Linked DNA regions of Caenorhabditis elegans. The protein of the gene in region 2 interacts with the protein of the main gene of each other region in a pairwise test. Each region holds a gene or a part of one and is shown on either strand. Other genes may lie near its edges.

Region 1 (3,392 bases), on a different chromosome or scaffold from region 2:
TGTGAAAATCGGCACTTGTCACCAAATCGACATTTTCCTTTGAGATAATTTCTGAGAATAAAATAATTAATTTAAAAAAAAAAAATAAAAAATATTACTTACTTGCAAGTGAATTTTGACTTTTTCCTTTCTTTTTCACTTGGCTTATCGGACAGATCCACGTGACGACTCAACATTCGGGCATTCATTCGTTCTTCCCTGGCATAATCGTTGTCGAATATTGAACTTGTCTGAAATTACTCAAATAAAATTTAGTTTCGCAGAAAAAAATTACAAATTCTTTGTCCAATTCTGTAACTGATTCTCCAGATCGTCGTTTCTTTTTAGGTCCTACTGATTCGCCTTCAGAATCATCCGAATCACTTGATCCTGCTTTATCATCGTCACCACTGAAGAAAAATGAAGAGATTGTTGGCTTTTCATCAGATTCCGCTATTTTTTCGCTCTGAAAATGAGAATTGATCGCGGAATTTTTAATAGATAGAACTAACCTCTTCTTCTTTTTCTTTCTCCGCGTTTTTCGTCGTTTCTTCTTTTTCTGTTGTCGGTTTTCCAAAGAAATCATCGTCTTCTCCTTCGCTGTCAGATCCGTAAGCCACGAGCGATGTCATGTCAGACTCTGAAAATGAATTTTTAAATAGAAAGAAAATTGAATTATCACCGGAAAATTAATATGACTCTTCTAACGTAAATCCACTCTTTTTTAAATTGGAATGAACCACTACTGACGCACTTATCGTGTCTGCCTGCGCCTCCACTCGTGATACACTCTTAAAAAGAATCCGTTGGCGAACTAGTAACCAATATATTGCAATACAATAAATTTTGCAACAAAAAAGGAACGCAGGGTTTATTCGATACATTAAATCGATAGAAAACAGGGATGAGAAATGTGCAGGTGTGATGAGAAGGACGTTGCGGAATTTCATCAAGAGGCATAATATTAATACAAAGCGGTAAAGATAAAATAATTATTCGGGCAGTAATAAAACAGGGATCTAGCTGCGCTCTCCACGGATGCGTCTGGCGAGTTGCATATCCTTTGGCATGATAGTGACTCTTTTGGCGTGGATGGCGCACAGGTTGGTGTCTTCGAAGAGTCCAACGAGGTAAGCTTCGGAAGCTTCCTGGAAAATTATTTTTTAAACTACGTTTTGGATTTCAAAATCGTTACCTGAAGAGCTCCGATAGCAGCTGACTGGAAACGGAGATCGGTTTTGAAGTCTTGCGCGATTTCACGGACAAGACGCTGGAATGGTAGCTTGCGAAGCAGAAGCTCTGTAGACTTTTGATAGCGTCTGATCTCACGAAGAGCGACTGTTCCCGGACGAAAACGATGCACTTTTTTGACACTTCCGGTGACAATGGCCGACTTGCGAGCCGCCTTCGTCGCCAGAGCTTTTCTGGGAGCTTTTCCTCCAGTCGATTTGCGAGCGGTTTGCTTGGTACGAGCCATAGTTCTGGAAATATTTAACATTAAAAGAAAGAAACAACATTGATAAATTGTCAGATGTGAAATTATGAAGAAAAATTATGATAAATTCAACGGAAGAGGATCCTTTTCAAGTGTTAACGCACAAAATTGACAGCATTGGAAGATCACAATTTTTAAAATAAAATTAATTTGAAAAAAACTTTAAAAATTACTAAATTTCAATAGAAAAACAATCCCCAAAACAAAAATAATAACAAAATGCGCGATTAAGATTGAAGAGGGTTACGGTAGCAGTGGTGTTCTGTGTGTGTCGCTCGTGTCGGGACCCGGCCATTCTTTTCGTGGTATATCAAATGCGGTTTTCTTTCAAAATGCTTTACAAACAATTGAAAAAATACCTTATGTGAAAATATTACTTTTAAAAATAACTAAAATTGCCTTAAATATTTAATACTTTTTTAAAATTATCTTCCTTGTCAGGTCAAAAATAAATGCATTTTTGAATTTTGCTCTTATTTTTTGATCTTCTGATTTTGATCACTTGCTCAAAATATGGCAAAATCTTTTAATTCGAAGTTTGGGGGGAAATATCTAAAATATCATTCTCTGTTCGCAGACAACACTCATTTCATAGTTTCGTTTTATTCGGCTCGATTTTTTTCAAAGAAGAGAGATTTATAGCTTGGATCGAATTCATTTTTATTAATTTGGCTGTAACAATCGTTAGTTTTTACAATAAAGTTGCAAATTAAAACACCATTTCAATAGTTAATAGAAGGATATGGCACCAGAAGGCCGTGGAAGCTCTGAGAAGGTTTTTAAAATATTGGTTACTGTACTTCTCTAAGTGGACCGATTTTTTTCATTCGTGGCGAGACCGGACATCGTATTCTCTCGCAACTGGGTAATATTCCCTGATTTCGAGACGGTGCTTGACATGGAACGAATATGTGTAAAATCAATCATCATAAAATTTATATTAATTTTCAAAATTTTTCTCAGCATAACATTTTGCATGCCTGCTTGTGAAACTCAACAATATGTGGATAAAGAGTCGAGTATTGATCCCAAAGATTCATTGAGTCAACGAGGTCTCGACACGGCCAAATTAAAGCTTTCGGGAGACGATTGCAACCTCCTCGCTGAAAATTTGTAGAGGTTATTTACACAGAATGCAGTTTCAAAGAGTTCTTCTTACCAAATACTTAGACATATTTAACCAACTGGTTGGGACAATAAACCAATGATCATCGCAAATCACACAAGGTTTTATATTCTCGAATTGAGCAGTAGTTTTTGAGACAGTAAAGATACAAATAACAAAAAACAGGTTGAGCTTCATAGTGAAGCAGAGAAATAAGAGAAAATAGAATTTGGAATGTATAATATAGGAAATGTAGGTTCTCAACAGTTTCATGAGAATAATACATTTTTCTCATAGTATTAACAAATTCTTCAATTTCTTTTGTCGAGGTATCAATAGAAAAACTATATTGCTTGGAAAGTGTAGCAAAATTAAAATATAAACTAACTTATCAATTTCTGTGTAAAATTATAAAATTTGATTTATACGATTCGTTTGTGCAATGACAAAAGGAAATATACTAAATGACCAACACATCTGGAGGTTAAGTCATTATGGAAAACACATTGAAGTACTAAAGGTGAGAAAAAAAAGCCGGATATTACGAGCTCACAACATTTCGAGCCAGGATACTGTAGCTAATTGTTATGACGTGAGTTGGTCAAAACATCTAACTAGGTGAAAAAAGTTTCATTGCAAATCTTACCATTCTTTGGGCAGTTCAGATTGTTTGGCATTATGAGCTTCGCGTATAAGATTTTTTTTTGAGAAACTTTCGTGGCGAGATCAACTCGGAGAAAAATAATGTGTCTTCAACTAGAATACGATACGCACATCACAATTCGAGAAGTTTTGAACGTTTTTACATTATAC
Region 2 (4,979 bases):
TCACCATTTACATTCTTTTTCAATGCAATTCGAATTTTTCCGCCACTCGTGATCAATCGTAATGGAGCATTGATTTTGGATCGCTGCTCATTTTTCGAAGTTTTCGCTGAGGCTTCAATGCGAAGGAGATGCCAGGAAAGCTGTAAGTTGGAGGTTTTATTTTAAGCCTATTTTAACAATTTGAATATCAGATGTTTTTTTGAAAATTTTAAAAATCCAACTATGTATTTTTCCTGAATATTTTTTTTCTAATCACATTTTTTAAGATTCATCTTTGATGAGATATTTTTAGATTTATAATTATTCAAATTGATTCTAGAAATGTTTCTTTTTAAAAATTCACCTGCTTAAACATCAATGTTCTATTTGTCTCCGAGCACGTAATTCTAGTCTGACGCAAGTCTTTCACTTGAGCCCATCCTGGACTTCTGCTCTCCACTGACAATCGTTGAAGCTGAAAAATTTCATTAATTAAAACATTTTCCGGCTGAGCAAACACAAACCATAAATGAGCCTCCGAATACGTCGGAATCAAAGTTAATTTCTACAGAACTTATATACAAAGACATGTTTTCGATGATTTTGTTCATGAAGCCGTATGAACTGCTGTCACCGAGATTTCTGCAAAAACGTGAAGGGTTTAATTTCGAAAATGGTAGAACTATGCTTACCCAAGTGGATTTGATTTTGCCTGTTTTTTATGCTCATTGGTAAGCTCCACATCCACATTGATTTCATCAATGAACTGAAATTATTTTTACGATTATAAAAGCATGAATTTGAATGAAAAAGGAGTTTATGTGAGACTATGACACTTTTCAAAATATTTATAACTTTTTTTTTACAAAATAGAAAACGTTATCAAAAATGCAACATTTGGCAGATTTAATTTGTCTGATATAATTATTCAAAATACGAGAATAAATTTGTCTACTTCAATTTCTAATTCAAAAAAAAGAAAACAACCTACAATCTGAATTGGGCAAGTTTTCAATTTGGTCCATGGTACATTCACAGCTACACCTGTACAGAATGCTCGTTTGATTTTCAACCACGAAGGAAGCTCCTGAAATTTTGAGTTTATGCAAGGAAAGCATGTACATTTAAAACTCACCAAAATCTCTGTCAAAACATCTTCGTTAATTTCAATAAACTGAAGTTTACTATTTCCTTTTAACACGTCTAAGGATATCTGCTCGGGCTTCAAGTTTTTTGTGAATCTGAAAAAAAGTGAATTTTTTGAGGGTGCAAACTTGATTAAATTCCATAGTAAAACTTTTCAAAAAAAATTTGAAATTTTATACTTATTGTCACAAGTAGCAATTACCAAGATATTTTTGGTTTTTTTAAGCGATTTGGAGCATATTTTGGCAAAATTCCCAGTGGCGTTACAAAAATTTTAACATCCATTTTATCAACTAAACAAGGAGGGTATTATTTGAGAAAAAATATGTTTGACGTTGTCATCGATTTTTAATATTTTTCAATACACTCAAAAATTAACTTACTTGGATAAATGTTTGACTAGCTGGTTTTTGATTATTGACGTCATCTTCGGTGTACAATTCTGCAAAAAAAATCGATTTTCAGGTGCGAACTACAAAAAACTACATAAATACACAGAAAATCATCAATAGAACATATTGAATCAAAAACAATGTGCTCATTATTTATGCGAAAATGCATTAATTGTCCAAATTGCGACTATCGGTTTTTGCCAATGGAGCGCGTTTGGCACACGCGGCGGTGTATGCTTGGGAGGGTGCGTGCGCGCGTCGGCATGCCAATTCTCTCAACGTGTTTGTGCTTGGCTAGCCATTGCTGCTTTTTGATAAGAATAGAAACGCGTTTTGGCGTGAGAAAAAAGACCGGATATAGATTTTGAAGATTAGAATTAGAATTTTTCCCTTTTTTTAAATTGTATTTCAATATAAAAATATAATTTGATTAGAATTTTTTGTTGTTGCTCATTGAACGTTTATATAATAAAAAAGAAAGTAGAAGTAGTCAATCAACAAATTTGTTTATCGTTTGTATTAATCGTTTTCTCTGTCATTATTTCTCTAACTCATCGTGAATTTGATTGTAGATAAGCAGGAGAGCAGTCGCAGAGCACAGGCAAAATGGGGGACGACGGGTTCCTCGATCAATACCCTGCCAACACCGATGCGGGCATTGGCACTGTGCACAGCTGCCGCTACTCAAAACAAAAAAATCCGGTGCAGAACAACGATTTTTTATCGTGCTCCATGTGCATACAGTGAGTTTATTCTACTTTTTTTGTTGCAAAATGAAACATAAACCGATCTTAATTAGGAAAAAAGTCAAATTTTACAGCAATTCAGTGGAAAATAAACTGAACGATTACGTGGGAAAATGCAATTTTTACACTTTCCTTGTCTAGTAACACAATGAACAAAAAATGAAAAGAGAAAGTTTTGGAACGATACATTGAAGGTGTTAAATACAATTTGTTTGCAAGGAAGTAAATGTCACAAGTACATCAATTAAAAAATAAAACTATATTTATCGTAATTTTTTGTTAAAACATGAAAGATCATGTAGACACAGATTAGTAGATTACATTAATAGTAAAAGTTAACAAATTTTCATTTTTCAGCAATGGACCCATCAAACTCTACGGTATTTTTTCCGGATTTAATGGTGGCGATTCAACAGCGAAGTTTGTCATGAACAGATTGGTATATGAGATTTTTGGAGAAAATCCAATTACACCAACACTACTCCCTTATCAAGTGATTTAACAATCAAATTTTCAACTCTACAACTACATTTTCAGGTGGTGGAAGAATTTAAACGGAAATTTGAAAACGTTGCCGAGCGTTATTTGTTGATGAACACCGATGATTTGAACAATCGACTGTTAAAGTTGGAGGAACAGTCGGAAACTGGAAATAATGCAGTATCGGAAATCAATCAAAAAGTTAGACTAAATTTTGAAATTATTATAATCTCCCAAATTTTCAGATTCGCCAAGGTACCACTGCCATAGTAGTCATGATCATTAACCAGGACCTATATGTGCTAAATTGCGGAAACTCTCTGTAAGATTTTTGAAACTGTTTGTTAGGAATTTTTGAAAAAAAAAAACTTTCAGCGCAATTGCTATGAACAGTGAGAACGTAGTGCAGCTCAACTCAAATCTACACAATAATGACAATCCTTTGGAGATTGTACGAATAAAAGGGCTAGGGATTAATCCGGAGGTAATTAATTTTTTTTGTAATAATTTTACAAAATAAGTTTACAGACAGTTCTGAATCCAACTAGAGCGATCGGTGACTTACAACGAACCCACCTGTTTGAAGAGACGGAAGCTTTCAAGAATGCAAAAGGACCACCGGTTATTTCTACTCCAGATGTTCAGTATACAAAGGTTTGCTATGATGAAATGTTGTTCTGGAACATTTTACGAAAAACAAGATAAAAGATCAAATTCAATGAAAATATTAGTCACAACACCTCAGATTTGATTACAAAATGAGAACATGTTTTCTTTTCTTTTTTTAAATGCTTATTTTCCAACCAACAGGTAACTTCTACTTTTAGATCGACCCATCCTGGAGACATTTGGTTCTGATCTCCGACGGTGTAGTTCAGAATCTTAAGGAAGTTGAAGTTGAAAACATCCCAACGTAAGTAGCAAACTTATGGAACTTTTTCGTCAATAACCAAGTCACACGTTTATAAAAATAAAAAATAAAATTTTCATCGATTCCCCAGTTTTCAGAGAAGTATCCGTTCGACTAATTGAAGATCACACAGTTACAAGTACAGCGCAGGCATTGGTAGACTCGTTTGCAAGAAAGCATCGCGATGCTTACACGGTTTGTTGGATTTACCCTTTTTTAGATAAGCAAATTTGAATACAATTTACAAAATTTTACCTATTTCTTCTCAATTCAATTAAATTTGTTCAAACATTGGGCGGATGTATTTTGCTATTCCACATTGCCATATTATTTTTATTTTATTTTCAGATGAGCGACGATAAAAATTTCTGTATCAGTAATCACAGAGAGGAAATGACTGTGATTTATGTGAAGCTCGAGGAAGATTACCAAGCGGCTCTTTACGAACAATTCGATTCAGCGATTTCGACAATGGAATCTACAAATGCAACATTGTATGAGCCCTGCTCGACACCATATGTCGATGCTACCAACTTCAATTCTGGAAAAAATTATGAAAAGATGAAGAAACTACTTCTAACTCGACCTTCAAAATAAATATTGTTGCTAGTAAATATAAATATTTGTTATCATGTATTATGTGTTATTTTTGCGGGGAGTATGATTATGATGCTTTCATTACAAATGTAACGTTATATGTGCCTATGTGGTGCCATGTGCCAGGATGTCCCATCACGGATTGATCTAGAAAAATAGCGGGATTTTTTCGCCCAAAAAAAATGCGACGTCAGCGCGTTCTTAACCATACGAAATCAGTGGAGAACTCTGCGTCCCCTTCTCCCGCATTTTTTGTATTATTGATCTACGTAGATCAAACCAAAATGAGTAACTCTGACACCACTTGTGTGCCCTGTTCGACACCTTACGTGGAAGCTACCAATCTCAACTCTGGGAACAATTTTGAAAAGATCAAGAAACATTTTTCAAGTCGACCGTCAAAATAATTTCTATTGTTGCTACTACATAGATCTAAACTTTTCTTTTCCTATTTCTTTGTTTTATTTTGAAAAAAAAATCTCTGACGAGAGATGCGGGGGAGGAGTTGCTTGAGCTGGTGTGAGATCAAATTTCTTGAATTTCACATCAACGCTTTTGTCCTGATTTTGAGACTAGATTTTTCCGTATTGGTCTTTTTCTGCATTTCAAAAAACAAGACGCAAATTCTGTTACATAATTTACCTTTTTCAACAATCGGTCGTTATCGTGAATTTGAAATGATCTGAAACGCTTATTTAGAGGCACACAGATTTGTAGGTTTTGTTGCAA
Region 3 (3,990 bases), on a different chromosome or scaffold from region 2:
ACGCAAAAAAAAAAAGATTTTGCCAGAAATTTGCAATTTTCAAGTTTTTCTCCTTCGAAATAACAAATTCTACAAAAATTCAAATTCCAGCGTCTCTCGTCTGCTTATCAAGCGTCCAACTACTCTACATTTTCCAATTTCACTGGAACGAAGACCTCTTTCTCAACTCGTTGGACTCGAAGCGATGCGATTTCGGCTTCTATCGAATTTGGGCGGATTTCGTGCTGGGACCCATTATCTATACATCACCAGTGACGATTCTCGTGGCGACTAATCGATCCGTCGGTGTGATCTCCAACTGCTTATTCTGTGCTGTGGCGATTGGCTCGATGGTTTTCACTGCGAAATGCGATCGGCAGAAATATGAATTCCGGAAATCTAAAGGAACGCTGAAAGTTGGCGGAGTTGATGCTTTTTTTATTAGTGCAAAGTATCGAACTGACTCCGGAGATGCTAATACTAATCTTTTACTAGGTAAGCTTTTCGCTGAAAGCTTGATTTGTCTTCAAAAAAACCACTAAAATTCCAGGCAGTGGTCATTGGGGAGTATGCAGGCATCCAAATTATGCCTCCGAAGCCATCACATTCGCCGCTTTCTCTGCATTTCAAGGCTTCCCATCCACCATTGCTCACATCCCATCCTTATTCGTTATCCTGTTCCTTGTTGCACGAGCATTCACCGATGAGAATCGATGCCTGATCAAGTACGGGCAGTACTGGGCGCAGTATTGTTCGAAAGTTAAATACCGGTTTCTTCCTGGCGTGTTCTGAGCCTTTACTCCCTAATGTTTTTTTCCTAAATTTTTTTGGTTCCAAAATTATCGAGCTCTCAATTTTTTGATGAAAGAAAGACAAGCGGTTTTTTAATAACAAAAATGTATTTTGTTGAATAACAAATAACAATACATTTAGACGTTCTCCTCCTTGGTGAACTTGACTGGCTTTCCTCCGCGAATTCTTCCGGTACGGCGGGCGGCGATAAGTCCAACCTTCTTTCCGGCACTGGCGTCTCTTCTGACGGTGGATGGATGTCCAATATGTTGATGGTTACCTCCTCCGTGGGGATGTTCGACTGGATTCATGGCAACTCCTCTGACACGTGGCCAGCTGTTTCTCTTTGCCTTGTACTTGTGGTATGAGCGTCCAGCCTTGAGAAGTGGCTTGTCGGTACGTCCTCCTCCAGCGACGAGTCCAATCATGGCGCGGTTGACCGATTGAACGACCTTCTTGGCTCCGGATGGGAGGCGAATACGTGTCTTCTTGGTGTCTGGGTTGTGGGCGATGACGGTGGCGTAGTTACCTGAAAATTAATTAATTGATTAATGAAGATTATATTGGTATTTGTGCAAAACTTACCAGAGGCACGGGCGATGACTCCACGGTCTCCGGACTTGTTCTCGACGTTGCAGATGGTGGTTCCTTCTGGGAGGGTTCCGACTGGCACGATGTTTCCGATTTGGATTTGAGCTGAAAAAAATAATAATTAGAATTTAGTAACTAAAAATGAAATGTTTAGTTCTAAAATTTCGAAAGTAAAGTGTTCGTGCACACAATGACCGATTCTGACAAACTATCACACCGGGGGTAAGAGGCAAAATTTCCTATGGTCCTTCCTGAAGGGCGTAGAATCAAAATAATTCAGGCCAGATTAAAAAGGACAAGCCGGATGCTTCAAACTGAAGGAAAAACTAACCCTTAGCTCCACAATGGATGAATTGTCCAGTGTGCATTCCTTCGGCGGCGACGACGGTAGTCTTCACGGTCTTGTACTTGTATGGGTCGCGGAAAGCGATGATGGCAAGTGGAGCTCCTCTTCCTGGGTCGTGGATGATGTCCTTCACGAGTCCCTTGATGTAGCCATGTCTCTCGGCATAGTCAAGAGGACGGAGCTTGGACGCTCCTTTGCGGTGCTTGTTGTGGCTCTTGAAGATTCCACCAGCTCCTTTACGCTGGATGCGGATACGACGTCCCATGTTACCCTGAAAAAATTCAATAATTATGACTGAAATCTGCGGAAAAGAGGTAAACACTACAAAAATAGACGAAAATAAAAGTAAAACAGCGAAAGAGATGACAAACTATCGGAACTGAGAATTAAAAATTCGTATTTAGACGGAAAATAATATTTTTCAGATAAAAAGCCGAAAAAATCGAGATTTTGAGAGAGAAAGAGACGACGAATGATCAAAACAAGCATTAAAATTGAATTTCTATAATTATTTGAACATAAAAACAAAAAAAAATTACTGAAAATCTTCAAAATTGGCGAAAAAAGTTTAGGCCAGCCGAAAAAATAGAAGAAAACGAGAGCCAAGCAGCTGCGGCGGAGAGGGTGGGTCTCGCCACGACAGCCCGATAAATAGCGTGCGCCTTTAACATTTCTCGTAAATCGACACAAGGAGAAGAGGGAAATTAATATTAAATCTGAAAAATGAGAAGAATTTACGAATTTTGAAGGAAGAAAGTTGAAATTTGGAGAAAAAATTGATTTTAAAGTTATTCAGAACATTATTGAGGTTGAAAATCTGATAAAATCGTTAAAAAACCGGAGAAATACGTAGAAAAAGAGAGAAGAGCCAGAGAAAATGAAAAATCGATGAGCTGTCGCCGTCTCTTCTGGGCTCACGGCTTCTGCTCCTTTCTCTACACTAAACCACTAACATCTGGGTGCAAAAATGCACTAATTCACGCCAGCTTTTTCCCTTTTCCACTAGTTTTCTCAATTTTTAGCTAATATTTTCCACTAAAATGTCATCTCCACAACAATTCACAATTCCGGCGAGCGAGGTGATGACGTCAATTGTGCTCCCGACGATAATTTTCTGTGTTGGGCTCGTTGCAGCCATGTTGGTACGGAAAAATGGGGAATTTTATCGATTTTTCATCGAATTTTGCAGCTTGGAATTAATAAATGCAAGCAGTGGGAGCTGGACAAGGTCGTCGAGATGAGAAGATCACGTCGGGTGCTCCAGCGAGTTACGAATAGGCTTAGAGAGAAGAATTTTAAGACGATACAACGTGAGAAGCTGGAAAATTGATGTTTTGAGTGAATAATACGGATTTTTAGTGGAGAAAAGCAGTTTTTGAAGGGCTAAAAGCATTAGAAAACTCGAAAATTAATTAAAATTTGAGATTTTTGGCGAAAATTTGAGATTTTTATTGAAATTTTGAGATTGTTTGTGTAAATTTGCAGTGTTTTGGCGAAAATTCGAGATTCCTAGTGAAAATTTGACATTTCTAGTAAAAATTTGAGATTTTCAGTGAATTTTTGAGATTGTTAGTGAAAAAACTGAGTTTTTAGTGGATAAATTAAGTTTTTTAAGGGCTAAAAGCATTTGAAAACTCTTAATTTTTCTGTGAGAATTTCGAGGGAAACTGCAGGAAAAGTGGCGGAAAAGTGGCAAATCCAACTTTTTGGAATAAAAAATTAGAAAATCTTCCAAAAAATTGAAATTTGAAGCTCCAAAAAGCTGAAAATAGACGTTTCTGATGAAAATTTCCAATTTTGGAACTGAAAAACATTGATTTTTACCTCGAAATCCGATTTTTAACGTTAAAATCCAATTTTTACGATTTTTAGATAAAATTTGAACTTTTAAGGCCCGAAAGAAACAAAATGCTTCGAAATTTTCAATTTTTGAGGCTTGAGGAGCTGAAAATTGTCGTTTTCGATGATGAGAAATTCCGTAATTCTAAACAAAAATTCGATTTTTGAAAATCGAAAAGCATGAAAGTCCTGGAAATAATATTTTGTTTCAATTTTTGAAGCTCGAACGTCGTGAAAAGCTGAAAAATTAACGTTTCATGGGGAAAATCCAGTTTTTTTTCGTGGAAAACGAATTTTTAGAGCTGAGAGCTGAAAAATTAACACTTTGATTAAAAAAATTTCGAGATTCGGGCTTAATTTTTGAATTTTTAGCTGAAAACTGATGTTTCAGTGTGTTTTTGGCCAAAAATTTAGGTCTAAAAGACGATAGAATTGCGAAAATG

The links. Proteins that work in one complex are often made in the same cells at the same time.
Region 1: the proteins of tap-1 (region 2) and his-74 interact in a two-hybrid assay, tested with the Caenorhabditis elegans proteins (one large-scale study listed by BioGRID).
Region 3: the proteins of tap-1 (region 2) and rpl-8 interact in a two-hybrid assay, tested with the Caenorhabditis elegans proteins (one large-scale study listed by BioGRID).

The regions. Positions count from the first base shown.
Region 1 is NC_003283.11:12,658,871-12,662,262, forward strand, and holds his-74 (Histone H3.3-like type 2), read right to left. Parts: upstream 1,461-3,392; 5' UTR 1,457-1,460; coding exon 1,175-1,456; intron 1,128-1,174; coding exon 999-1,127; 3' UTR 834-998; downstream 1-833. Other genes in the region: ccch-3 (C3H1-type domain-containing protein), read right to left, coding at 1-51, 103-230, 275-445, 492-611; W05B10.3 (Saposin B-type domain-containing protein), read right to left, coding at 2,434-2,577, 2,634-2,777. UniProt on the Caenorhabditis elegans protein: Putative variant histone H3 which may replace conventional H3 in a subset of nucleosomes. Nucleosomes wrap and compact DNA into chromatin, limiting DNA accessibility to the cellular machineries which require DNA as a template.
Region 2 is NC_003284.9:14,587,535-14,592,513, forward strand, and holds tap-1 (TGF-beta-activated kinase 1 and MAP3K7-binding protein 1), read left to right. Parts: upstream 1-2,089; 5' UTR 2,090-2,123; coding exon 2,124-2,260; intron 2,261-2,620; coding exon 2,621-2,756; intron 2,757-2,800; coding exon 2,801-2,944; intron 2,945-2,988; coding exon 2,989-3,065; intron 3,066-3,118; coding exon 3,119-3,227; intron 3,228-3,271; coding exon 3,272-3,397; intron 3,398-3,570; coding exon 3,571-3,656; intron 3,657-3,751; coding exon 3,752-3,848; intron 3,849-4,001; coding exon 4,002-4,250; 3' UTR 4,251-4,287; downstream 4,288-4,979. Other genes in the region: bltp-3B (Chorein N-terminal domain-containing protein), read right to left, coding at 5-140, 344-454, 504-621, 672-745, 971-1,066, 1,115-1,220, 1,509-1,552. UniProt on the Caenorhabditis elegans protein: Involved in the Wnt signaling pathway by regulating mom-4 kinase activity.
Region 3 is NC_003283.11:20,477,678-20,481,667, reverse strand, and holds rpl-8 (Large ribosomal subunit protein uL2), read right to left. Parts: upstream 1,980-3,990; 5' UTR 1,974-1,979; coding exon 1,694-1,973; intron 1,660-1,693; exon of another isoform or gene 1,535-1,659; intron 1,468-1,534; coding exon 1,357-1,467; intron 1,301-1,356; coding exon 909-1,300; 3' UTR 834-908; downstream 1-833. Other genes in the region: dhcr-7 (7-dehydrocholesterol reductase), read left to right, coding at 91-474, 530-771; calf-1 (CAlcium channel Localization Factor), read left to right, coding at 2,749-2,850, 2,898-3,018.